Caenorhabditis elegans: one gene and its partners. The protein of the gene in region 3 interacts with the protein of the main gene of each other region in a pairwise test. Each region holds a gene or a part of one and is shown on either strand. Other genes may lie near its edges. The genes, in order: osgn-1, idpb-2 and rpl-3.

The links.
Region 1: the proteins of rpl-3 (region 3) and osgn-1 interact in a two-hybrid assay, tested with the Caenorhabditis elegans proteins (one large-scale study listed by BioGRID).
Region 2: the proteins of rpl-3 (region 3) and idpb-2 interact in a two-hybrid assay, tested with the Caenorhabditis elegans proteins (one large-scale study listed by BioGRID).

Annotation. Positions count from the first base shown.
Region 1 is NC_003282.8:4,205,705-4,210,455, reverse strand, and holds the start of osgn-1 (FAD/NAD(P)-binding domain-containing protein), read right to left. Parts: upstream 3,069-4,751; coding exon 3,064-3,068; intron 1-3,063.
Region 2 is NC_003280.10:5,068,101-5,071,336, reverse strand, and holds idpb-2 (Intrinsically Disordered Protein, class B), read left to right. Parts: upstream 1-1,711; 5' UTR 1,712-1,728; coding exon 1,729-1,785; exon of another isoform or gene 1,786-1,832; coding exon 1,833-2,047; intron 2,048-2,307; coding exon 2,308-2,602; 3' UTR 2,603-2,689; downstream 2,690-3,236. Other genes in the region: C27A2.7 (C2H2-type domain-containing protein), read left to right, coding at 1-153, 458-529, 671-744, 820-973, 1,351-1,479.
Region 3 is NC_003281.10:3,865,843-3,870,117, reverse strand, and holds rpl-3 (Large ribosomal subunit protein uL3), read right to left. Parts: upstream 2,265-4,275; 5' UTR 2,256-2,264; coding exon 1,891-2,255; exon of another isoform or gene 1,889-1,890; intron 1,790-1,888; exon of another isoform or gene 1,674-1,789; coding exon 1,538-1,673; exon of another isoform or gene 1,536-1,537; intron 1,490-1,535; coding exon 1,049-1,489; exon of another isoform or gene 1,047-1,048; intron 914-1,046; coding exon 650-913; 3' UTR 531-649; downstream 1-530. Other genes in the region: acs-19 (Acetyl-coenzyme A synthetase), read right to left, coding at 3,288-4,116, 4,168-4,275. UniProt on the Caenorhabditis elegans protein: The L3 protein is a component of the large subunit of cytoplasmic ribosomes.

The DNA of each region.
Region 1 (4,751 bases), on a different chromosome or scaffold from region 3:
CTACAAAAAAAATTTCCGGAGTTGTGGAAAATTTAAGATCTCAATTTTTCAGATTGCCATATTTTAAAGTTAGGAAACAATCCTTACAATGTTAGTTACCAACTTACGGAAAGCGTTCTACGTTCTACGGAAAATTGCTGAAATGGCCAAAAAATGGCCGAAATGGCCGAATTGCCGAAATTGAATTGCCAAATTGTAGAAAATCGCCAGAATTGCCGGAAACTGGATAGGTACAAAGTTGCTGAGAAAAATGCCGAGATCGCCGTGAAAATCGCTGCCGCATTACTCCAAATTGCCAGAGTTGCCGAAAAATCCAATTTCCCGCTCAAAAACACACGTGAAATTCTTCAATTTCCGACGGAAAAATTGCATTTCCAGCAAGAGTTCATATAATCTATAATCGGATCGAAAAGTAGACTACAATCCTCTTAAAAACCGGCTGCGGAATGCGGGAAAAATACTTTTTCTTTCTTTTTTTTTCACCGGAAATTGAAAATTTCTTAGGCCTGCTGACCGCGGGAAATTCGATTTTTCACTGAAATTTTTCAAATTCCTCCGATTTTTCCGCTATTTTTCTTAAAATTTTGAAACAGATCTCTGACTCGATAACTCAACTTTTTGTACTTGAAACAAACAGTGACAAAATGATGACAAATACTCACATATCTCTCGTTTTTTCTCTATTTCCGAAACTTTTTTTCGACGAAAAAGTTCGAAGCTCAACAACCTACTTGTTTCGAAGATTTTTGGCGCCATTTCTGAGAAAGAAAAAGTTAAAAAAAAAACTGAAAATTCACAAAAAAAACTCGGTGGCCGAGAAAAAATTGAAACCTGAGACTTAAGCGAGCAAGCTTAAGCCTCAGCCTCAGCCTAAGCCTAATCCTAAATCTAAGCCTAAACCTAATCCAGTTCAAAAACTAGGCCATGTGCAAGATTTTTGGTCAATATAAAACGAAAATCAGCAAAAAATTGGAGTTACAACTTGGTGGCCTAGAAAAATAATTCCAAGCCACCACCTCAAAAAGCCAGGCCACTGACCGTTTTTTCCAAAAAATAGGTCAAAATTGTTGATTTTTTGTGGGAAAAAACACAAAAATCATGTTTTGTTGATTGATCCACTCGAAACCACGTGAAGTAAATATTTGATGAAAAATCGCAAAAAACGGTTCAAAACGGCGTGTTTTGTCTATTTGCAGACGAAAAAGAGGGAATTTTCGCGAAAATATTTACTTTTTCTCTCTACACTGTGTTCGTCCACTCGAACAAAAATCAAGAGTGTTTTTGAGACATTTTATGGCAAAAAAGTGCTATTTTTGGCAGAAAAATCAGATTTCGAGCGATTTTTATGTGGAAAACGGGGGAAAACTGACTTTTTTGACATAAAAATCGGATCTTTAGGCAGTTTTCAGGTGAAAAGTCCACTGAAAATGGTATTTTCAACAAAAATAATTCAATTTTCAGGTAACTTTTAAGATGAAAACCTACCTTAAAAATTAAATTTTAAGCAGAAAGATCGGATTTTTAAGTAATTTTGAGCTGAAAACCCACTGAAAAATGGAATTTTCAGCAGAAAAATCGTATTTTCTACCGATTTCCAGATTATTTGGATTTTTTTGAAATGTTCTCTTTTGAATATCGAAATATTGCTTCAAACCTTAAATTTTTTAAATTTTGCCCTAAAAATACTGGTGGCCTAGAAATCCGAGAAATTCTTAGGCCAGCACCAAGAAAACAGCGGCGGGAAAATCGAAGTTTTGAAATATTTTTGGAGTAAAAATTGGGATTTAGGATGAAAATTTAAAATGTCCTAAAAATTCCTAGGCCTTATAAATTCAAAATGTTCTGCCATTTTAGGCTAAATTTTGAATTTTTCGCAAAAAAAGAAACCGTGACCTAGATATTTCTAGGCCACCGATCAGAAAACAATGCAAATTTCAAATTTTTGACTAATTTTCGAAGAAATTGACTCAAAAATCAAGCATGTTAAAGATAGGAAACTAAATATAATTTTAATCTTTCTTAGTAAACTGATTTTTTCTTCAAATTTTCATGCTCGGCGAGCCGCTTGAACTCCCAATTTCAGAGATCTCTAAGGAGGAAAAACCAGGAAAAAATAGGAAAAAACCAGAAGAAAAGGAGAAAAAGAAGAATGAGTAGCGTGCGACAAGAGATCAGACCCCGCGTGGAGAGCGCAGAGAAAAACGGAACGATTCTGGCGAGTTTTGGCCTAAAATTGCGGGAAAATAAAGAAAAATGATAATTTTTGCGCTAAAATTTCGGGTTTTTGTAGCAAAAATTGCAGAAAATTGCAGAAAATTGCGAATTTTTTGCGAATTCGGAGGTTTTTCGCTGAAATATTGCAAAACATGCAATTTTCTATGGTCTCAGCGAAAATTGGAATTTTTGAGCTAAAACTACAATTTTTTTTGCTGATTTTCACTGAAATTCTTGGTTTTTGAATCAATTTTCCCGAAAATTACTCAAAAATTTGAAATTTTCATTGTTTTCTGGCGGGTGGCCTAGAAATTTCTAAGCCACGGTTTCTTTTTTTTCGGAAAAATTCAAATTTAGCTTCAAATTGCAGAATATTTCGAATTCATAAGGGATGGCCTAGGATTGTTTAGGCCACTTGCAAAATTTAACCAAAAAACTGAAATTTCGAAAATTTCTCTTGAAAAAGGTGAAAATCTGAGAATTTTCCGAAAGTTCGAATTTTTAGCTTAGAAATCGCTGAAAATCACAATTTTTACTTTTTTTTTCAACTTGTTTTTGGCAATTTTCCGTTTTTCCAGAAAATGAAATTTTAGACAAACAAAAAATAAAATCGAATTTTCAGCTAAATTTCAAGTTGAAAAAGAGTTTTTTAAAGAAAACTAGAAAACATGAAATTTTTCAAAAAAAAATTAATTGGATGTACAGTTGTCAACTTGTTCTTGAAAATTCGAAAAAAATTCAGAAAATTTTTTAAATGATTTGAGATTACTTTATTGATTGGTTGGAACAAGGATATAGTAATAATCGCATAAAATTACACAAAAAATACAAAAGTTTTCAATTCCTTACCTCATAATTTGTTTTTCTTGCCGCGGCTTTTAGGCATTATTCAGAGATCTCCAGAAATATGAATTTGCCTGGAATCTTCGAGAAAATGAGTTGTACCACAATTGGAATGCCGTCACCGGGGTGGTTTTGAGGGAACCTGGAAAATTGGGGAAAATTTGGCAATAAATTAGTTTAAATATTCGAGAAAAATAGCTGAATTTTGACCGAAAATCGGCAGAAAATTTGTGGGAAATATTGCAAATTTCGAATAAAATGTGGAAAAAAAACGCTGAATTTTGGCTAAAAACTCACTGAAAATCTACCAAAAATGTGAGAAAAATTGGCTAAAAATTCGAGAAAAAAACGTTAAAATATGGCTGAAAATCGGCACAAATCGGAAAAATTTGACTAAAAATTTGTGTACAAAATTTGTGTATTGGCTTAAAATTTGGTTAAGATTTTGCTTAATATTTCAGAAAAATAGTGGAATTTTGGATGAAAGTCGGCTGAAAATTTGAAGAAAAAAGGTTACATTTGGCTGAATATCAACTGAAAATTATCCGAAATATATGAGATTTGGCTGAAAATTCTGGAAAAAATTAAGATAAAATTGCTTCGAATTTTGATTGAAAAAATCTGAAAAAATCACTGAAAATAGAGCAAAAAATGCAGAATTTATGGCTAAAAATTGTCTGGAAATTCTAACTAGGGAACCGTCAGAAGGTGCCCATTGGACTTGCATATGGGACCTATGCCATTTGATAGCCCATGTCTTAAAACGGTTACGTGTGAATTTTTAGCTACGAATCTCCAGAATCAAGCTCACGGCGAGCTCTCAAAGATCTTAGAATAGCACTGTAACGAAGCGTTGTAACGATCTAAACAAGCAATTTTCCTAATTCAGTTTGGTAGCTCATATCTCCGTGGATAAATTTTTTACAGAAAAGTCATCAACTGACAAGTTGTTAATCTTTTTGTAAAAAACAAGTTTGTAGTTGAAAGATTTTAGCAAAAAAAAATTTGTTTCAGATAAAACCATTAGAATAGCAATAACTGCATAAAAATAACAACAACAGTAACCGCACTTTACGCGCTTCTATCTGAAACAAAAATTTTTTGATAAAAACTTTCAACTACAAACTTGTTCTTTACAAAAAGATCAACAACTTTTTAGTTGATGAGTTTTCTGTAAAAAATTTATCCGCGGAGACCAAAGTGAATTTGGAAAATTGGCCCTTCAATGCTTCGTTACAGTGTTATTTCAGGATCTTTGAGAGCTCGCCGTGAGCTTGATTCTGGAGATTCACAGCTAAAAATTCACGATTTCAGCGAAATTTTTAGTTTTTTCTACTGAAAAATCTTCCAAAAATCCAAAAAAAAAGCTGCTTACCACCAGAGGGATTAGGAAGACGAACTGAGAAGGATTCGGTGTGGTTGATGAGATTTCTTATCATTTTTTCCGCGAATTCCACCAGTGTCGACTGCAATGATTTATTACTTTTTTACCGAAAGAGGATAAGGATCCGATGATCCAATAATGAGGCGGGGCTTGATTTTCATACGGAAAAATCGTTTTTTTCTGGAAAAAATGACAACAGTAAGAAATTTAAATCGTTTTTTTCTGGAAAAAATGACAACAGTAAGAAATTTTTATGAAAAATGGGATTTTTTTTTCGAATTTCTTGAGTTTTGTGTTTTTAACGAAAAAA
Region 2 (3,236 bases), on a different chromosome or scaffold from region 3:
CCCAAAATAGATTTTGGAAAGAAATCTTCAAACCTTGAACAGAGTATTCAAAGAATCAAAGTTCGCAAGAGTCTTCTCATGGCTCAGATTTGTTTATCGGACAAACCAGATTTCACTTCCAAAGTGGAGAACAACAATCAACAATCAGAAAAGGTAACTGATAGGTTTTGATATGAGCTATTCTATATATGAATATTAATCTAATTTTCCTGACAGTTCTAAGATATTGTATATCCCCTATTAGTATTGTATGTAATACTTTTTCCATCGATTACTCTGAGTTTAGCTCTTGTAAATATTTCAATTTAATAAGATATATTATATTTAAATATTAGACTCACAAACATTTATTGAAATTGAAAACTTTCAACAAAAGACTACAAACTTACAGTAATCCCAATAGTCAATTGTTTTACACATATTTTATCAGTGTATGTTCATGAAAAATATATTGAAGGTCTACACAAAAGCTCAACGGTCATCTGTCAGGTTTCCAACATACGATGGATTGCTCCCCGCTGGCGGAACAGTAAGCGGAAGCTTATCTCTCTTTCTCCTGTTCTATCATTTTTTGGTATATTCTTCTGTTAGCAATTACTTTGAGAACCTTTTTTTCAATTGTATCTATCATGTTCTTTTCCTGAACACCATCAGTTCCTTCATATTTCAGTACATTTGCGATGAATGCAACAGCGACGAGCGGACCCCATTTCAGCTTTGTGAGCACAAGGCAATTTATCACAGGTTTGCCTATTTTTGAAGAATTTAATTTGTTAGCTATAACTTTTGTGTTTATAAATGTATACTCTGGCGTTTCAGTCCCCAAGACCAGAGGGTTTGGAAATGTGTGTACTGTCACACACAATTTGGAAGGCGAGGTGGACTTCGGAGGCATGTTCAGATGGTTCATATGCAGATGATGCATAAATGTCCCGTAGAGAATTGCACTCATCCAGGATACAAGTGCACAAAGGTGGTCATTTCAATCTTTTTATTGAAGGCAGGACCACGCGCTCGAATTTAAAATTTAAAAAAATTAGATTTATGGAGTACTGTAGTCCACATTTCTTCATTGTTGTTTCAATGTTTTCCGTTCGTTTACATAGGAGCTACAGTACTCCGTCATCCATCGGACGTGTCGAGACGAGATTTTGTATCAGTGGTAAAAACCTTTCAAAAAACGTAGCAAGATTCAAAGGAACCTTTGAACTCTTTTAACTTGAAGATGCAGCTCTAGATTGCCACTAGATTACCAAACGTTATAAATGTTTGAGAATTATTGGTTTCATTAATATTGATTTTTCAAGCCAAAAACACCCTTCAAGTCTATTCAAGTCTATGCTCTTTCAGGCTCTGAATGCTCATGTCAGAACTCATACTCGACCATATGCCTGCCATCGGTGTGATGCTAGCTTTGCACGAAAAAACGATCTACAGAGTCATCTATCAACTCATCAAGCTACTCCAGTCATTCATTAATTTATTATATTATCTCAATTTTCCGTTTCTCTATCTATCTTATTACGATTACCTCTTCTTTTTTTCTGTGATTGTACCATAAACCTCAAAGTCCAACGCGATTTCTCGAGGGTATACGGAAGGGTTGAGTTTTGCTTCCGGAAAAGTGTCAAATGCACTACGCACCGCGCAACCGCAGGCATACTTACGTAAATATTTGAGTGATATAAAAGAAAGCATGAATGGTTCAATGATACACTCGAACTTAACATGAACAAGCTCGTCTGCTCCACCTTCGCCATTCTGGCAATAATCGCAATTTCTCAGGTATCAACGTTTCAGGGGACTTGTGTAGAATTCGAAGATCCTTGCAGGTTCAATCAGCAGTACTACCAGTGTCCTCAAAAGAAGTAGCATTAATAACATCATCTGCTTCAACCACTTCATCATCTGAAACATCAATTGATACATTAGGATCATCCAGAGTTAAAAGACAAGGAGGATGTGGTTGCTGTGGATGCGGATGCGGATGCTGCGGATGTGGTGGAGGAGGTGGAGGAGGATGCGGATGTTGCTGTTGTAGACCAAAGTAAGTTCAGAATTCGACACTTCTACTTTTTTAATTGATAATTCCAGAAATGTTACATTCACTATTTGAAAGATCTTTAATCCTTTAAATCTCAAAGTTTTAAACTTTGTCGTTACGTTTTCAGACTCGTCTGCATCTTCAGCATTTTCAGAATGATGTAGCAAATTTTAGTTCAAATTTTAGTGTAGCAACATCTTTCTTAAAAGAACAGTATCTTTTAGGCACATCTGCCGTTGTAATTTAAAATTTAAAATTTTCAGATGCTGCTGCTGTTGCCGCCGTTGCTGTACATGTTGCCGTACTTGCTGTTGTACAAGATGTTGTACTTGCTGCCGTCCATGTTGTTGTGGATGTGGATGTGGATGTGGATGTTGTGGATGCGGAGGTGGAGGACGTAAACGTCGTTCTCTTCAGAATCTCCGTATTGCTTTGGCTAACAAAATCGAAGGAATCGCCAAAGTCGTGAAGGGATCCGCTGTAGAAGCTTCAGTTATGAACGCATTGGCTCCTGTCAATGATGCTACGGTTGAAGAGAAGAAAGACGTGATCAACTGAGCGATGCGTTTGTTAAACTAATTTAATTAATTTAATTTGAATTCTGTGATTCTCACTTCAGAGAAATAAATAGTTGATTCTCTCTTGATTAACGCAAATACCAAAAAAATGTTATATACATAGAATTAGATAAAAAACGAGTAGAGACAAAGTTCAACAACGTTGTTGTCCATACAAAGCCTTGGAATTTACCGGCCCCCAAAGTATGCCTGGTTTGAGAAACGCTGAAAAATCCTCAGAATTAGATCAGAAAACTCATCAGAAATTGTTGCTTGTAGTAGTGAAATTTTCTTGATTGATCTGAGAAGCTTAAACTTGTTACTAACTTTTCAATAACTCGTCTCATTCTAGAGAACCTGAAAGTAACCGGGAGCTTGTGTGGTAAAATTATTCTACATTGGAAGAAATGGCATATTTCCCTTTTCCCCTATTTTACATTAGGTTTCTATTTTCAATTTCGGTTCAAGAATCATCAATTTTTAATTCCTAGTCCCATTTAGAAATAATGTCGCAACACTCATTCTTCATTCCCAGAGTCTCGCCCATTTCTTTCCCATTGAAACACTAGCTTCTGGTTACCATGACAACTCCATCCTTGTGCTCCAGTAAAAACTGCTCTGTCTCCTCCTTCTCT
Region 3 (4,275 bases):
TTTCTTCAACCATCCCAATATCAAATATCAAACTCCCAATGTCTTTCAATCATCCCACACGAAAGTTTTAATGTATTTGACCCTCATTTTAAATCAGTCAAAACCTCAAAAAAAGTGTTCCACAAAAAACTGGAAATTCAAAGCGTAGAATCTATGATTTCAACTGTCTCTCTCTCTTCCTCATTTACCCAATGCCCTGCCGTTTTCTGCAAATAATAATAATAATTGTAATAATCTCTATAAATTATGTGATTGATGTCTTTATGAAACCAAAAAGAAAACTCTGAAACTTCACTTTCTTATAATCTTTCTGTTTATATATTCCGATCTCCATCTGTTTCATTCGTTTCACTTTTTCTGTTTTATTTCCTGCAACGTGTAATAGTCGATCAACCCCCAACTCAGGAACCCATCAAATTCGAACCCTTTAACTCCCTCTTTAAATTGAACTTTTTATCTTAACAATTACCGGGTCTAACACCCTTCCAGATTTCTAATGTTATACCTAATGAATGTTTCGGATTATTATTCTTCAATACAAGCAGCATAGTCCTTCAGATTCAACAAAAAAGCATACTCAAAGTGTATTCAAAATGTGAACAGTGAAGAAACATTTGATAACAATAACAATTTATTTGAATAAACAAATTTAAGCCTTAGCTTCGGCCTCGGCAAGGAAATCTCTCTTGAGTTTTCCCATGAAAGCACGCTTCTCGGCTGTGGTTTGGAAGCGACCGTGTCCGGTCTTGGAACTGGTGTCGATCCACTTGAGGTTGATCTTCTCGTGGGCGACTCTCTTGGTTTGGGTGATGAGCGACTTGCGGAGGGTGATAAGACGCTTCTTTGGTCCGAGAACGGCTCCACGAAGCATGATGTAGTCCTGGTTGACGATACCGTATCTTGGGAATCCTCCCTAAAACAAAACAATTATTAAAAATTCATGAAAATTGATTACAACGCCCGATGTTCTCAGATAAAATATAGTCGCCATACAGAGTACGAATTGCAGACTTTTTCTTCATAGAACGGTGAAAAAAATAAAACGAACCATTGGGGTGATGGTCTTCTGGGTAAGATCGAACTCGGTGGATCCGTTGTTCTTTCCTTCCTCAGTGAGAGCAGACTTTCCAATACGGTAGATCTTGTTGTTGATGATGGTACGGTGATGGAATCCCTTTTGTCCAGCACGAGCGACAGTGAAGGCGACACGAGATGGATGCCAAGCTCCAATACAGGCGACCTTGCGGAGACCCTTGTGCGTCTTGCGAGGAAGCTTCTTGGTGTGCCATCTGCTGGTGACTCCCTTGAATCCGTGACCTCTGGTAACTCCGATGGTGTCAATCATCTCATCCTGAGCGAAGACGGTATCAACCTGGACTTGTTTCTCGAGATGCTCGCGAGCCCAGTCGACCTTCTGCTCGATGGTTCCTCCGTTGACTTGGATTTCGACGAGGTGAGCCTTCTTTTGGCGACGGCGAAGGATCTTCATCTGCAAAATATAACTTAAGAATACAAACAAACTAAATATAAATATTACCTGAGTGTGAGCGATCACACGGATAGAAGAGCAGTACTTCTTCAGCTTGGCGAAATCAGCCTCGATGAGCTTCTTTCCATCCTCATCTTGCCACTTCTTGGCGTACTTGGTGAAAGCCTTCTTCTTGGATTTAGCCCTGTAGTTTCTACGATTACGAACAAAATGCCTTTCAGCGTACAGGACGCTTTAGCCACTCAGTTCGTTTACCATCATGTACATAAGTACAGCGGAAGGCAACCGACTTAGAAACGCGACTGCAAATACAGACTTGTAATCACGAAACCACCAAATGACACCAAAAACGCACCATAACACTGAATACAAAAAACGAAATAGTTGAAAAATAAACTAACCAGTTGCTGTAGAAGCGACGACGAGCTTCCTCGGACAAGTGCTCGGCCCAGATGGTGGTAAGAGCACGTGGTCCTTGTGGGGTGTCGACGTATCCGGTAACTCCAGCAATAACCATTGGTGGGGTCTCGACGATGGTGACGGCTTCGACAACCTCCTTCTTGTTAACCTTTGATCCTGGCTTATCGACATCACGGACGATATGGGTCATACCGGCCTTGTATCCGAGGAAAGCGGTCAAATGGATTGGCTTGCTCTTGTCATCCTTTGGGAAAGCCTTGATTCTTCCACGGTAAGTGCGGGAGCGCTTCTTTGGGGTGAATCCCATGTGTCCATGTCTCGGGGCCGAAAACTTTCGGTGAGACATTGTTGTACCCTGAAAAATATTAATTTTACGAAAAAATTATAGAAAAAGCATGAGCGAACAAAGAATAAAAATTGCGTTTTCGGTTAAAAAATTTTTTAAATAACTACTTTTCTAGACAGATACTAATTTGAACATTTTAAATTTAGAATTGCACGTAAAAAAACAAAATTTATTCGAAAAAAACATGAAAATTTTAGGCTAAAACAAATTGAAATGAAGTTTAGGCCAGTGAAAGGCGTTGGGAGACCCACACACTCGGCGCACACTTGTGCGTCGCAAAACACGCTTTTACCGTAGCTGTGGCGGCGGAGTGTACAAGTGTACGACAAGCGCGGTTGTTTGAATTCGATTTCTTTCGCAGTTGGAGAGATTCTGCAAATAATAATGTTTTTAAATACATTGTTTTTTAACGGGAAATATTCATGTAAATCAAGTTTTATTTTGAAGCATCATTATATAATCAAGAAAATCGATTTGCTTTGTTCAAACGGCCTATCAAAACAACACACTTTATGCTTAAAATAATTCATTTTCCTGTAATTTTGCAATGCAAGTTAAATCAAATATTATTTTGTATTGAACTTTCGTGGTTTTTATCATAATTCATAAAAATTGAGCTAAACATCAGATTCACTGGGCATATGAAATGCATTTCTCCATGTAAGTATTTAATCTTCTTCTTGTAATTTCATGTTTCGTGTTTTAATTATCCGAATAAGCCAAAATTGTTATCTGAAAATCTGAAATTGAGTTAAAACAATTAATCAGTTCTGAATCATTTACTTGTTTTCTAATTTCGAATTCAGGGTTCAATAAATTACTGGGGGAAATTACAACACTGGAATTTAATTCTACACAGGAGTCAATCAGGGAATGCATCTTGATTACAAAGAAGGTCATGTTGGGGTTAAAAGTTTAGATCTTGCATTGATTCTGCAGAAATTACAACGATAGAGGGGGAAAAGAGAAGTAATACAGAAAAAGTAACATTAATAGTAAGAATTGAATTGATTTACAATTGTTCAAGTTCGTTTATGCACGTGCAGAACGTCCAGAGATTAGTTGTTTGATGACAGATTCGTCGACTAGAGTAGTAGTATCACCGATTCCACTTTCGGATCCTTCAGCAATCTTTCTCAAGATTCTTCTGGTAACCTTGCCGGAACGAGTTTTTGGAAGTCCTGGAGCTTCTTGGATAACATCTGGAACAGCCAATGCACCAATTTTCTCGCGAACTAGTTTCTTGAGCTCAGCCACAAGCTTTTCATTGATTCTCTCTCCAACATTCAAAGTGACGAATGCGTATGGGAAGGATCCCTTGATGTCATGTGGAGCAGCAACAACGGCAGCTTCAGCAACTTTCTCATGAGCCACAAGAGCTGATTCAATTTCAGCAGTAGACAGAAGATGACCACTGACATTCATCAAATCATCAACACGTCCAGTTATCCACAAGTATCCATCTTCATCACGTCTGGCACCATCTCCAGTGAAATAGTATCCATTGAATGGAGCCAAATAGGTCTTGACAAAGCGTTGCTCATCTCCATAGATTCCACGCATCATTCCAGGCCAGGCACGATCAAAGCATAGTGATCCTTCTCCCGGACCTTCAATAACACGACCTTCAGCATCCAAAAGAACTGGAGATGCTCCGAAGAATGGCATTGCAGCTGCTCCTGGCTTCATTGGAGTTGCTCCTGGAAGGCATGTGATCATGTGTCCTCCAGTTTCAGTTTGCCAGTAAGTATCCACAATGGATACATTGGAAAGTCCAACTTGCTTGTACAACCACATCCATGCAGCAGGATTGATGGGCTCTCCAACTGTTCCGATAACCTTGAGAGTTTTGCGAGAAGAGCTGAAAATTAAAAATAAAGATGCTGAACAATTATTTTTGAATAATTATTACCTTTCAAGCCACTGATTTCCGAGAGCCATAAGAGCTCTTGCGGCTGTTGGTGAGGTATACAGCTTGGTCACACCATACTTATCAGTGACATCCCACATTCTAGAAGGA